Linked DNA regions of Canis lupus familiaris. The protein of the gene in region 1 binds, or shares a complex with, the protein of each later gene. Links are inferred from orthologs where the notes say so. Each region holds a gene or a part of one and is shown on either strand. Other genes may lie near its edges.

Evidence for each region.
Region 2: the proteins of MED7 (region 1) and MED31 are in contact, whole or in part, in a cryo-EM structure (PDB 7EMF), measured with the Homo sapiens proteins. The link is inferred for Canis lupus familiaris from reciprocal best matches to the Homo sapiens genes MED7 and MED31. Residues at the interface, in NP_001094286.1 of Homo sapiens: Met15, Gln16, Tyr17, Ile18, Lys19, Tyr21, Thr22, Asn25, Ile26, Lys33, Pro34, Pro35, Pro36, Pro37, Ile38, Lys39, Asp40, Tyr42, Met43, Met44, Phe45, Gly46, Gln48, Gln50, Asp52; in NP_057144.1 of Homo sapiens: Asn14, Arg15, Leu16, Arg17, Phe18, Gln19, Leu20, Glu21, Leu22, Glu23, Phe24, Gln26, Tyr33, Phe36, Leu37, Tyr42, Asp45, Ala47, Phe48, Asn50, Tyr51, Tyr54, Tyr57, Glu62, Tyr63, Lys65, Tyr66, Lys68, Tyr69.
Region 3: MED7 (region 1) and MED18 share a complex: the UniProt entries of both Homo sapiens proteins name them as parts of the mediator complex. The link is inferred for Canis lupus familiaris from reciprocal best matches to the Homo sapiens genes MED7 and MED18.

Annotation. Positions count from the first base shown.
Region 1 is NC_049225.1:53,884,043-53,887,789, forward strand, and holds the start of MED7 (mediator of RNA polymerase II transcription subunit 7), read left to right. Parts: upstream 1-1,482; 5' UTR 1,483-1,549; intron 1,550-3,747. UniProt on the Homo sapiens protein: Component of the Mediator complex, a coactivator involved in the regulated transcription of nearly all RNA polymerase II-dependent genes.
Region 2 is NC_049226.1:30,892,130-30,895,876, forward strand, and holds the start of MED31 (mediator of RNA polymerase II transcription subunit 31), read left to right. Parts: upstream 1-1,228; 5' UTR 1,229-1,356; coding exon 1,357-1,384; intron 1,385-2,082; coding exon 2,083-2,160; intron 2,161-2,447; coding exon 2,448-2,544; intron 2,545-3,747. UniProt on the Homo sapiens protein: Component of the Mediator complex, a coactivator involved in the regulated transcription of nearly all RNA polymerase II-dependent genes.
Region 3 is NC_049223.1:71,511,961-71,515,707, reverse strand, and holds the start of MED18 (mediator of RNA polymerase II transcription subunit 18), read left to right. Parts: upstream 1-1,438; 5' UTR 1,439-1,617; intron 1,618-2,194; 5' UTR 2,195-2,264; coding exon 2,265-2,337; intron 2,338-3,747. UniProt on the Homo sapiens protein: Component of the Mediator complex, a coactivator involved in the regulated transcription of nearly all RNA polymerase II-dependent genes.

The DNA.
Region 1 (3,747 bases):
AAAGGTAGTTGAAAGACACATCAGCCAGTTACAAAGGCTTATTGGATCCTGAAGCAATTGTTATCCAAATAAGGACTTGATTTTTATGATTTTTTTTTAAGAGAGGTAAGGGGGGGGGGTGTGTGGAGCAGAGGGCAGGAGAGAGAGAATCTTAAGCAGGCTGCAGGCTGAGCACACAGCCTGACATGGGGCTGTCTCATGACCCCAAGATCAAGAACTGAGCTGAAATTGAGAATCAGAAGCTTAAACAATTGAGCCACCTAAGTGCCCTTGATTTTGATGAATTTAAATAATTACTATTTTATTTTATTTTTTTTAAAAAAGATTTTATTTATTCATGAAAGACAGAGAGACAGGCGGAGATGTAGGCAGAGAGACAAGCGGGCTCCATATCTGGAGCCTGTCGCAGGACTTGATCCCAGGACCCTGGGATCACAACTTGAACCAAAGGCAGACACGGAACCACTGAGCCACCCAGGCACCTCTACTAACTTATTTTTAAATGATATAACACCTGTATCCTTATGGGGGAAAATGAGAGTCCTATTTTGGACGTGTATATTAAAACGAAATAATGTCTAGATCTAATGGGTAGATATAGATTGAAGGTGGATAATGAGTACACTTTTTTTTTTAAAGATCTTATCTATTTGAGAGAGGAAGAGAGAGAGCAAGAGCAGTGTGAGGGGAGGGGGAGAAGCAGATTCCCTGCTGAGCAGGGAGCCCAAGTAGGGCTTGATGCCAGGACCCTGGGATCACGACCTGAGCTGAAGGCAGAGGCTTCACCCACTCAGCCACCTAGGCGCCCCTCTACTTTTGCATATACTCGGAATCTCGTTCTTTTCTAAAAAATGAAACCAAGTAATCTTATTTTAGAGGCAAAGTTGAAAACTTTTATCAGAATAACAATTTTCTTTTATGTCCAGTATGCTCTCGTCAGATTTCCACGAATTTATAAGTTTGTTACTTCTTCTGAAAATTACCTCCCAAAAACTTTGATACATTTTTTGTTACCTGGAAACATAGCTATGTTTCAATTCCTAAATGAAAATAAATATGAATGTGAAGAAATAGAAACTGAGAACGCTATGAATTCCCGATCTCGTTCATAAATATTTCCAGATTGAAAATAAATGTAATGCTATTTTGGACAGTAGGATTAGAGTCGATCTAATTTTTAAAAATCGGCTTATCTGCATTTTCTAATTTTCATGTAAGGCAAACGGATAAGTTAATCTCAGGTGTCAAAAAAAAAAAAAAGATAACAAAGGAGCGAAGCTACCAGTTGCAGCTTTTACTGATAGAAAGTACTAGCACAGACACCCCCACGCCCGAGGCCGCCGGCGACCCGACCGCCGAGGGCGCGGGGAGATACGCGCAGGCGCAGTAGCAAGGTTTTGGTTGGAGGCGGGACTAGAGCGGCGGCTAACATACAGTTCTCTCAGCCAATCAAGGGGCAGTGTCACGGGCTTCTTCCTGGAGGAGGTGGCCGGAAGTCGGCTTTCGGTTGCGGAGGCGAAGGCGGCTCCAGCGTCAAGCCTGGGCTGAGGTAAGTGGGCGGCGACGGCTTGCGGCTTCGTGCCGCGTGCGTCTCGCCTTCCGGACCCCGCGGCTCCCCCAGGGCCGGCTGGGAATGGGGGAAGCCTGGCGCGGACACGCTCCGTCACCTTCCTCTCCCACATCCCTCGGAGATGCGGCCTCGCTGCTGCTCGCGGGGAGCCGGGCGGAAGGTGCCGTCGGCGCGGCGCGCTCGGGGCTTCCTCCGTGGGGGAGCCCTGAGTTCCAGTCCCGCGCCGCGGGTGTGCTGAGCCGGGCGGACGTGGCGGGCCTCGGCCCCCGGGCCTTGCCCGCGCTCGTCGGGGATGGAGCCTGAGGTCGGCCGCGGTAGTGCGGGGTGCAGGAGGCCGCGATCCCAAGCCTGGTGGCCACGTCGAGGGGGAGGTGTTCGGGGGCGGGGCGGGACCCTGGAATGCCTTCCTGTCGGCTGAGCCCCACGGAAGGGGGGTCTGGGGTCCGGTCACCGGCCGTGACGCTTGGCGCCGGTTTCAGTGGAGACACCGCCTCGGAAGAGTTGGCCCCAGAGAAGCGGTGGAGGAATGAGCAGAATCGGTGCGACTCGTCAGGTTGCTTCCGTGGGCGAGCCTGCCCTGGGCCGCGGAAAGGAGCCGGGATGAGGAGCGTTGCCGTGGACTCGCTAGCCCCGACGCGGCGCAGGCGGCCCCTCCGAGACGCGGAGTCTTCCTCTCGCGAAGGAAGCTGACAGGCGTGTGAGGAAGACCGAGAGGCTTTTTTTTTTTTTTTAATTTTTTTTTTTTTTAAAGATTTTATTTATTTATTCATGAGAGACCCAGGCAGACGGAGAAGCAGGCTCCTTGCAGACGTGGGACTCGATCTCGGATCCCCGGATCCCGCCCTGAGCCACCCAGGCGTCCGCCGAGAGGCTTTAAAACGTGCCAGTCACGTGGGACTGGGAACCTGCACGTTGAATAGAGGAGTGCTTGTGGCTTGTGGCGTGGGGAGGCGCGGAACCGGGCGCCCAACTAAAAATGCTTGAGTGAGGCAGAGCCTGGGCTGTCTCTTACAGTCGCTTTTGAAGTAACCAGATCAATGCTAATTCTCTGATTTTGGTAGTAATCACATATAAACACTGTTTATCACCCCCACCTCCACCCCCCACTCCCCGCAAGCAGTTTTACCCCTTTTACTCGAGGGCCGCCTTATATTACAGAGAAATATTTTATCCACTCCTCATATTGATGAAGTCATGGATGATTTCCGGCTTTTCCTACTCTTTTCAAACCTCGCTGCATTAAACACCCTTGGTGCACATTTTTATGCACTTGTGACGTAGGACAGATGTTAGGGTTTGAAACCAACAGCCAAGAAAGAGTTCTTGAGACGTCTGTGGTGCAAAAAAGTGGTCTTTATAGAAGCATGAGAGGGCAAGACCCTTGGACAGAAAGAGCTGCCCTGGGAGAGTGCGACCTCTGCTGGCATCCAGCGCCTGTCGCATGGAAGGTGTTCTAATATTTGTTGAATGATGGAGTATTTGAAATCTCGATAGTCCGTTAGATGAAAAGTATTCTTTTTAAAACTTTGCTTTTAGAAGTATATTAGTCTGAATAATTTTCTGCTTTTATTCAGCATTTGCATTTCCCTTGTCTTTTTTTTTTTTTTTTTAAGATTTTATTTACTTGAGAGAGAGGGAGCTAGCCCAGCGTGGGGAAAGGCAGAGGGAGAAGGGAGAAGCAGATTCCCTGCTAAGCTGGGAGCCGGATGCGGGCTCAATCCCAGGACCCTGAGATCAGGACCTGAATCCATGACTTGAGCCAAAGGCAGAAGCTTAACCGACTGAACCACCCGAGCCCTCCTCCTTGTCCTCTTTTGTCTATTATTCTGTTTTAAAAAACGGAGGTTAAAAAAAAAAAAAAAACTCAATCAGTGGGCCTTTATTGAGGATCTTTTAGGTGTTGAGGTGCTGGAGATGGAGTTGTGTATTCGGCAGTTCCTGAAGTCCTAGTGCCCTCCTTCCGGTGGGAGTGGAGTCAGAAAATAAATTTTTGAAAAGTCAAAATAAAATTTCCAATATTTGCTCTGTTAGCTTGCAGGCATTTTTCTCCCAAAAGAATGGGATTGTCTTTTAATTTTGCTTATGATAATTTTCCTGTGTGGAATTTTTAGACTTATTTTTGGTAGAACTGTTGGCCTTCTGTAGGAGCCTTAAAACTTGGTAGTTATTTTTGTGTT
Region 2 (3,747 bases), on another chromosome or scaffold:
CCCTGCTGAAAACACTGCGGTGTCTTCCCATTGACCTTAGAATAAAACCCAAGCCCCTTTCTATGGCTTCCAAGACCCTTTGTGAACTTGCTGCTGCTTCTTTCGCTAACGTCCTCTCTCCTGTACCACGCTTGTCCCTCGCATAGCTCCAACAACGCTGGTCTTCTTTCTGTTCCAGAACATTCCAAGATTGCTCCCGTCCAGCCCTTGCGTTGCTGTCCCAGACCCCTGCACGGCTCACTGTCCACCCACACAAGCCTCAGATCCAAGTCCCCTAACCAAGGCCTTCCCTGACACTTCTGAGTGAGGAACCCCTCCCATTACCTGTTTCCTTCAGTTACTCATTGCGATAGAAAATGGTCTTTTCATCATTTGCCGTGTGCCCCTTCACCAGTGTGAGCTCCTGAGAGCCTGGGTCCTGCCTACCTTGTCCAAGTGCCCACAGAGGAGAGGCTCCATAAATAGTACTGCCCTCCCCGCCCTCTGCGAGACCCGGGCCGGGTTCCCTTCCGAGATCACGCCTCATGGTAGATGTTGACTTTTATCTAGTCTGACCTGTATGGAAATGTGTGTGACTGGGGGTGCCCGTACAGGGCACAGGGCTTAGCATAAACAAAATACCTGCTTGGTTTGAAACACAAAGGCCAACTGGTTAATTAATGGAGGTCTGTTTCTTGCCCCTCGGTTTCCGGCCGCGGTGTGATCCTCCCAGTGGTCACGGTTTGGGTTTGCTCCCTGTCCCCGAAGTCTGGATCGTGAGGGTGGTTGGAACAACAGCCTCCCTATCCATCAGCCCATCAGGCTGGCGGAGCGTCGCGGGCCTGCGGACCTCCAGTGCTGGCTTGCTGCAAGGGGGCTCCCGGGGTCAACGGTGCGGCCACCCGGCCGACGCGCGGCGGAGGGGGCTGGCCCAGTGCCGACCCCGCACCTGCCGCACCTGCCGCACCTGCCGCACCTGCCGCACCTGCCGCACCTGCCGCACCTGCCGCACCTGCGCTCGGGTCAAGGGGGGGGTCCCTGTGGGTTGGAACGGCCGCTGGGCGTTCTCCCGGCTGAGGACTGCCCCCGCGGGAGACCCCACCGAGGGGATGTAGGCGCTCCCGGAGGCGCTCGGGACCCCCGCGGCTACGTCACTGGGCGAGCAGAGAGGCGGGGACAGGACCCCTCCCGCGCTCGGAGCGCCCCAGCTCCGCCCCTCGCCCCTTGCGAGTCTGCGCGAGGCCGGTGGGCGGGGCCCGAGAGGACCGCCCCGCCCCGCATCCCACACTGCCCCGCGACAGGAAGTGGGGCCGCAGCTTCCGGGACCTCCGGGAAGCTGCTCGTCGTGCTGGTGACGTCTCGGCGCTTTTGCTGGCGATGGCCGCGGCCGTCGCTATGGAGACAGGTAGGTAGCGGCCGGAGCCCTGGCAAACACAGCTACAGCCGGCTGGCCTCCTCCTCCAGCTTCCCCCGGGACTCCTGTGTGGCGTGACTTCGGCGGGGCTCCTGTCCGCGGCTACCTCCTCCTCGCTTGCCGCGCAGACGCCGACCACCCCTCAGCCTCAACCCCTCCCGGGCCCCGACCCCGCGGCCTCCCGACCCATCCCAGGTCCTGGCCCTCCCAGCCTCCGGGCTCTGACACCCCCCTCCCCCGGGCCTCCCAAATCCTGCCGCCCCGAACCAGTCCCCCCTCCCCGCCAGGCCCTAGCGGGAGCACACTCGCCCCCTCCTCTTGCTTAGCTTGCAGCCCTCCGCCACTGGTCACCCTGGAGGTCCTGGGGAGTGGCTGCCAGAGGGTGAACATCCTGCCCAGGGGGCGCCCGCTTCCTCGGACTTCTCCTTAAGGAGTTACTGGTCTCATTAATCAGGGCCCTGCTCTCTAGACTTGGGAGGAAACGGCCCTCTCTTCCCACATCCAGCTTAGGACAGTCATCCCTGCCTTATGCCTTCAGAGATACTCTCAGCAATACTCAGAACACTCCACTGCTGTTTTCTTTCTACAAACCAGCACTTTAGATAGTCACCTTTATTTTGTTTTTTATTTATTTTATTTATTTTTTAGTCACCTTTACTTTGGATGATTTTTGCTCACTTCCCTCCTAGATGATGCCGGGAATCGACTTCGGTTTCAGTTGGAGCTGGAATTTGTGCAGTGCCTAGCCAACCCCAATTATCTTAACTGTAAGTCCTTGAGCTCTTACTGACTTGAGTAGCTGTTAGTGATCTCTGGCAGAAGAACTGCAGTTCCTAATGATACCTATTTTTATATGTTCTCAATCCAGTGGAATTAACTGCTACGCTTATACTGGTGTGTGTGAGAACAAATTGGGACTTATGTTCAGCATTTAGTGTGTGTTGGTGGTGGGGAAGTTATATAAGTAGATGCTTTATGTGAGGGGTCACAAATCAGTAGTCCGAGGATTGGTTTGCTCTACAGATTTTTTTGTTTGTTTGTTTATGCCTTTCAGTTCTTGCCCAAAGAGGTTACTTCAAAGACAAAGCTTTTGTTAATTATCTTAAGTACTTGCTTTACTGGAAAGAACCAGAATATGCCAAGTATCTAAAGTAAGTTTAATTTTTATAGTCCTAAATATGTGTATAGTTATTACATTAAAAATACTGATATTTGACAGATTTTCTCATTTCCCATTGGAAAAAAGTATATTTTGAATCTCTCCACTTCTTTCAGTTGCCTCCACCTTAATACAGAGCCACCCCCTCTCCAGCTTGGATTATTGCGGTGTCCACCCCCCTGCTTCTCCCTGCTTGTGCTCTTACCTTCCTTCTGTGTCCTCCCTCCCGCAAGCCAAACCAAGCAAAACAGTTTTCCACAGGGAAGCCAACTTGATCTTTCAAAAATGTAAATTATGACGTGGTATTTTCTTGCTTAAAACCTCCCAGTGGTTTCCCATTGCATGTGAAACAAAATCCTCTCTCTTTTCTCAGGTCTCTCTTTATCTATCTACCACTCACCCCATCTCACTGAATTTCTGACCCTAATGAACCCACAGTCTGTAGATGCAGTGGTATTACCTGAGGCTGAAGATTAAAGAACATCAGGTACTTGGAAGGTTTTCTGGAGGAGGTGACCTTACCTGACTCTTAATATAGGCATTCCTTGGATACTGTTGATGTGGTTCCAGGCCACTGCAATGTGGTGAATATTGCAATAAAGTGACCCAAGTTTTTGGGTTCTCTAGTGCGTATAAGGGTTGTTAACACTATAGCATTAAGTCAAGAAAGAGGTACATACCTTAATTTAAAAATATTGTTAAAAAACACTGTCATCTGAGGTTTTATGGAGTCTGATCACAGATCACCCTAACAAATACAATGATAAAGAAAAGTTTGAAATGTGAGAATTATCAAATAATGACAGACATAAAGTGAGCAAATGTAGTTGGAAAAATGGTACCCATAGACTTGCTTGCTGATGGGTTGCCACACGCCTTTAATTTTTAAACAAAAAGTCCAAAAAACAAACCCAAACCAGTGTGTCTATAGCTGCTGTGCCTCCTCTGTGCCAAGCATCACACTTGTTTCAACCTTGAACCCATCCCTCTTCTTTGTCTTCACTAGGTAGTCAGAAAGCAATAGTTGAACTTCTTGTCTTTCTTTTTTTTTTTTTTTTTTTTTTTCTTGTCTTTCTTTTAAACAAACACGTTTGATAGGAAAATGATTCAGACTTGTACTTTATCCAAGTCACTTTTTATTTTTTGTATTTTTATTTTTTTTCCAAGTCACTTTTTTGATTTGTGTCAACTGATT
Region 3 (3,747 bases), on another chromosome or scaffold:
TATTTAACTCAGTATCCTTTTGAACATACTGTTCCCTTCACCTGAAATTCCCTTTTCTCCCTTCTTTATCTAACACCTATTGACCCTTCAAGTTACTCTGGGCATTGATTACCTTTTCCAGGAATCCTTCCTTGATGCCCCCAAGATGGACCAAGCATCCTGCTTGCTTCCAAAGGGGATGAGCTGTTGATATCTCATTTTCCTATTGAATCAAACTTCATAGTACAGACTCCTTAGTTTAACCCTCTGATTCCCACAACATGCCTGTAAACTCATTTGAGGATACAGATGGAGTTAACACCTAACAAGATGTCGAGAACAGTCTAGACCTTCAAGAAATGTTCAATATTTTAAAAATTAATGAATGGGAGATAGTGGATTACAGCAGGGGAACTAGAGCTGTAAGTCCAGTACAGTAATTAAGAGAGGGCTCTGGGGATCCCTGGGTGGCTCAGCGGTTTAGGGCCTGCCTTTGGCCCAGGGCGTGATCCTGGAGTCCTGGGATCGAGTCCCATGTTGGGCTTCTGCATGGAGCCTGCTTCTCCCTCTGCCTGTGTGTGTGTGTGTGTGTGTGTGTATGTGTGTGTGTGATGAATAAATTAAAAAAAAATTTTTTAAGTGAGAGGGCTCTGAAGTCAACAGCTTATATTGGTATTGCAGCCATTCCTTTGCATGTTATTTAACAACTCGTTGCTTGGGTTTCCCCATCAGTAAAATTACCGTAATCATTGTACTTGGCTCATAGGGCTACTTTGAGGATCAAACTTAAAGTTTTGGTATTTTGTTCATTATTTATTGCCTTAAACTTGTAAAATACCGCATTGAAATAGTATTTATCTTAGCTACCGAGTTTCTGGTGTCCCTTTATTTTTTTCACTCCGAGGGTACCTCTTTCACTTCATTCTAGTCCTCACTTTGCACCTTATATGCTTGACAAATATTAGCAGCGTGCAACAAACATTCATTGAATTTATCTTCCTATATTTTCAAATTAAGTAAAATATATACAGTGAAGTGAACAAATATTAAGTGTATTGCTGAGCTCCCTAATTGTTCAGAACATTATGCTTTGCAATAAAAGGTGTCTCTTGGTCGTCAGGTACCCAACAAAAAAAGTCTATTTTGTAAGTCTGTTTACCGCAGCTCCCTTCCCTGGGCTCTCTTTTGCCCCCGTCAGTTTCAAGAGATTTCCTAGACAATATCATTCCAGATCGTCGAGCTTGAAAAAATATTTTCCTAGAGGACGCCAAATGACGTCAAGCGCCTCCCCTCCCCCGCCGTAAATCCCCGGGAAGCCTCCAAGGCAGGCCGCCATCTTCCATACCGCGGCCCTGCGTCTCGCGCATGCGCTTCTGTTTGCGAGGCTGCAAAGAGCGCGGTTTGGTTTTTTTTTAATCCCTTCTCGGCACCCTTACGTCGCGGAGCACCAGTGTCAAGATTTGCGTGACGTCCGCTTCCTGCCGGAAGTGGAAAGAAAAGAAGTTGTTGCACTACCTGGAGGGCTTTAACTTTAGGGCTGGGGGCTAGTTATTTAAATGCTGCTCGGAGGTGCTGGAGAGGATACATTACCCACTCTGCGAGAAGAGACCAGAGCGCGCTCGGAGGTGTGTTTCTAGTGTAAGTGGGCACGTGTCTTTGATGCTGCCTTAAGAGGACCTAAACCATCCTTTTAAAAGAATTTCACGCTTCCCCCCTCGCTCTCTTGGAAAGGCGTTTTCAGAGAGACGGAACGCCTAGATTTCAGTCTGATTCAAGCTCCGCCACCGACTTGCTGTGTATCCTTGGGCCCCTCTCCGAGACTCAATTATCTTCATCTATAAATTGAAGAGTAGACAATCTTTTAACAGACAACCTTTCAGTTCTGAATGTTTTTACATGTCCGAGCCACAAAGTCTTGGTTGGTTAAATATCGTTGGCCCCATTTTATAAGGAAGACATTGACTTCCAGGTTTGATGACTTCCTCAAAATTACACAGAAAACGTTTAGACACTGAGACTGGAAAGGTTGTGCTGTAACTCCATGACCAAGTATCCTTTGTATATTTCTGTATCATCAGTTCCTGAAGCTGGCCTATAGCAGTTACTCAAAAAATTTGAATGGTTGAATGAATCTTTTCATATCGAGGCCAGTGACACAAACAGATCTATTGTTTCTGTGCCCCGCTCATGTATTAACGATGTAACACTTCTCCAGGTGTTTATTGTGCTTTACTTGACTGGAGAGTCCGAAACCAGTTCTGTTGTCTTCAGCTCAATCAGACACCATGGAGGCACCGCCAGTCACCATGATGCCTGTCACTGGAGGCACCATTAATATGATGGAGTACCTGCTGCAGGGTAAGTAAACCAGGCAACTTGGATGACCTGTTTTCCTCTTTCTGATCAGCACTGTGGGGATGAGAGGCTGTTACACAAAGGCAGCCTGCATAATTTCTGGCACCCAATAAGACAACAACTTTTAAAAAATCTTTAAATGTTAATTATGGTCACCAACACATAATATTAAGTGTACATACAGTTCAGTAGTGTTAAGTATATTCACATTGTTGTATAACTGATCTCTAGGAACTTTTTCATCTTGCAGAACTGAAAGTCTATACCCATTAAACACTAATTACTCCTTTCCCCTCCCTCAGCTCTTGGCAACCACTTTTTGACTTTGTTTCTGATTTTGGCTACTTTTGATATCTTAGATGAATGGAATCATACAGTGCTTGTCTTTTTCTGACTGGCTTGTTTTGCTTAGCATAATGTCCTCAAGGTTCATCCTTATTGTAGCATCTGACGGGATCCCCCTTTTTAAAGCTGAATAACATTTCATTGTGTGTATAATCTGTTTATTTATAATTTATTTATTTACATTTTTAAAAATTTATTTATTTGTCATTTGGGTTGCTTTCACCTTTTGGTTATCATGAATAATGCTGCAGCAAACGTGAGTGTGCAAATATCTCTTCAAGATCCTGCTTTGAATTTTCGATATATGCCCAGAAGTGGGATTACTGGATCATATAGTAATTCTATGATACTGTCATTAGCCCCATTTTATAGATCAGGAAACAGGTAAAGTACCTTGCCCAGATGAGAAAACTCAAGATCCAGAGAGGGCAGTGATTTTCAGGAGGTCATTTAATGTTAGTGGAAGAGGTTAGACTTTAATTCAGATCATCCATTTAGTAACTTAATATGAACAACATTATTAATTTTCACTCCTCAAGCTACTTTTCAGTCTTTCCCAACCCAGTAAGTGCCACTGTCATTCACCAGTTGCATGAACCAAGCATTTAGGAGTCAATCTGTTTTTCACTTTACCCCCACATCTAGCATATCTCTAAATCCTATTCATTTTACTTCCAATGTATCTTTTAAATATTCTCTCCACCTACAGTACCACACCCTGGTTTACCATCCCTCATTTGAACTACTTTAGTAACCTTTTACTTATTCCATTGTTTCTACTTCTGACTAGCACTATCTCTTCTCATACCAATAGGTAGTCAGCTTTTTATTTTTTTTATTATCTTTTTTTTTTTTTTTTTAAAGTAAACTTTATGCCTGGCATAGGGCTTGAACTCAGGACCTGTACATTAAGAGTTGTGTGCTCAGGACACCTGGGTGGCTCAGTTGGGGGAGCATCCAACTATTAACTTTGGCTTAGGTCCTGATCTCAGGGTCTGGGATCAAGCCCCATGTCAGGCTCTGCCCTCAGTGGGGAGTCTGTTTCCCTCCCCCTCCATCTGCCCGTCT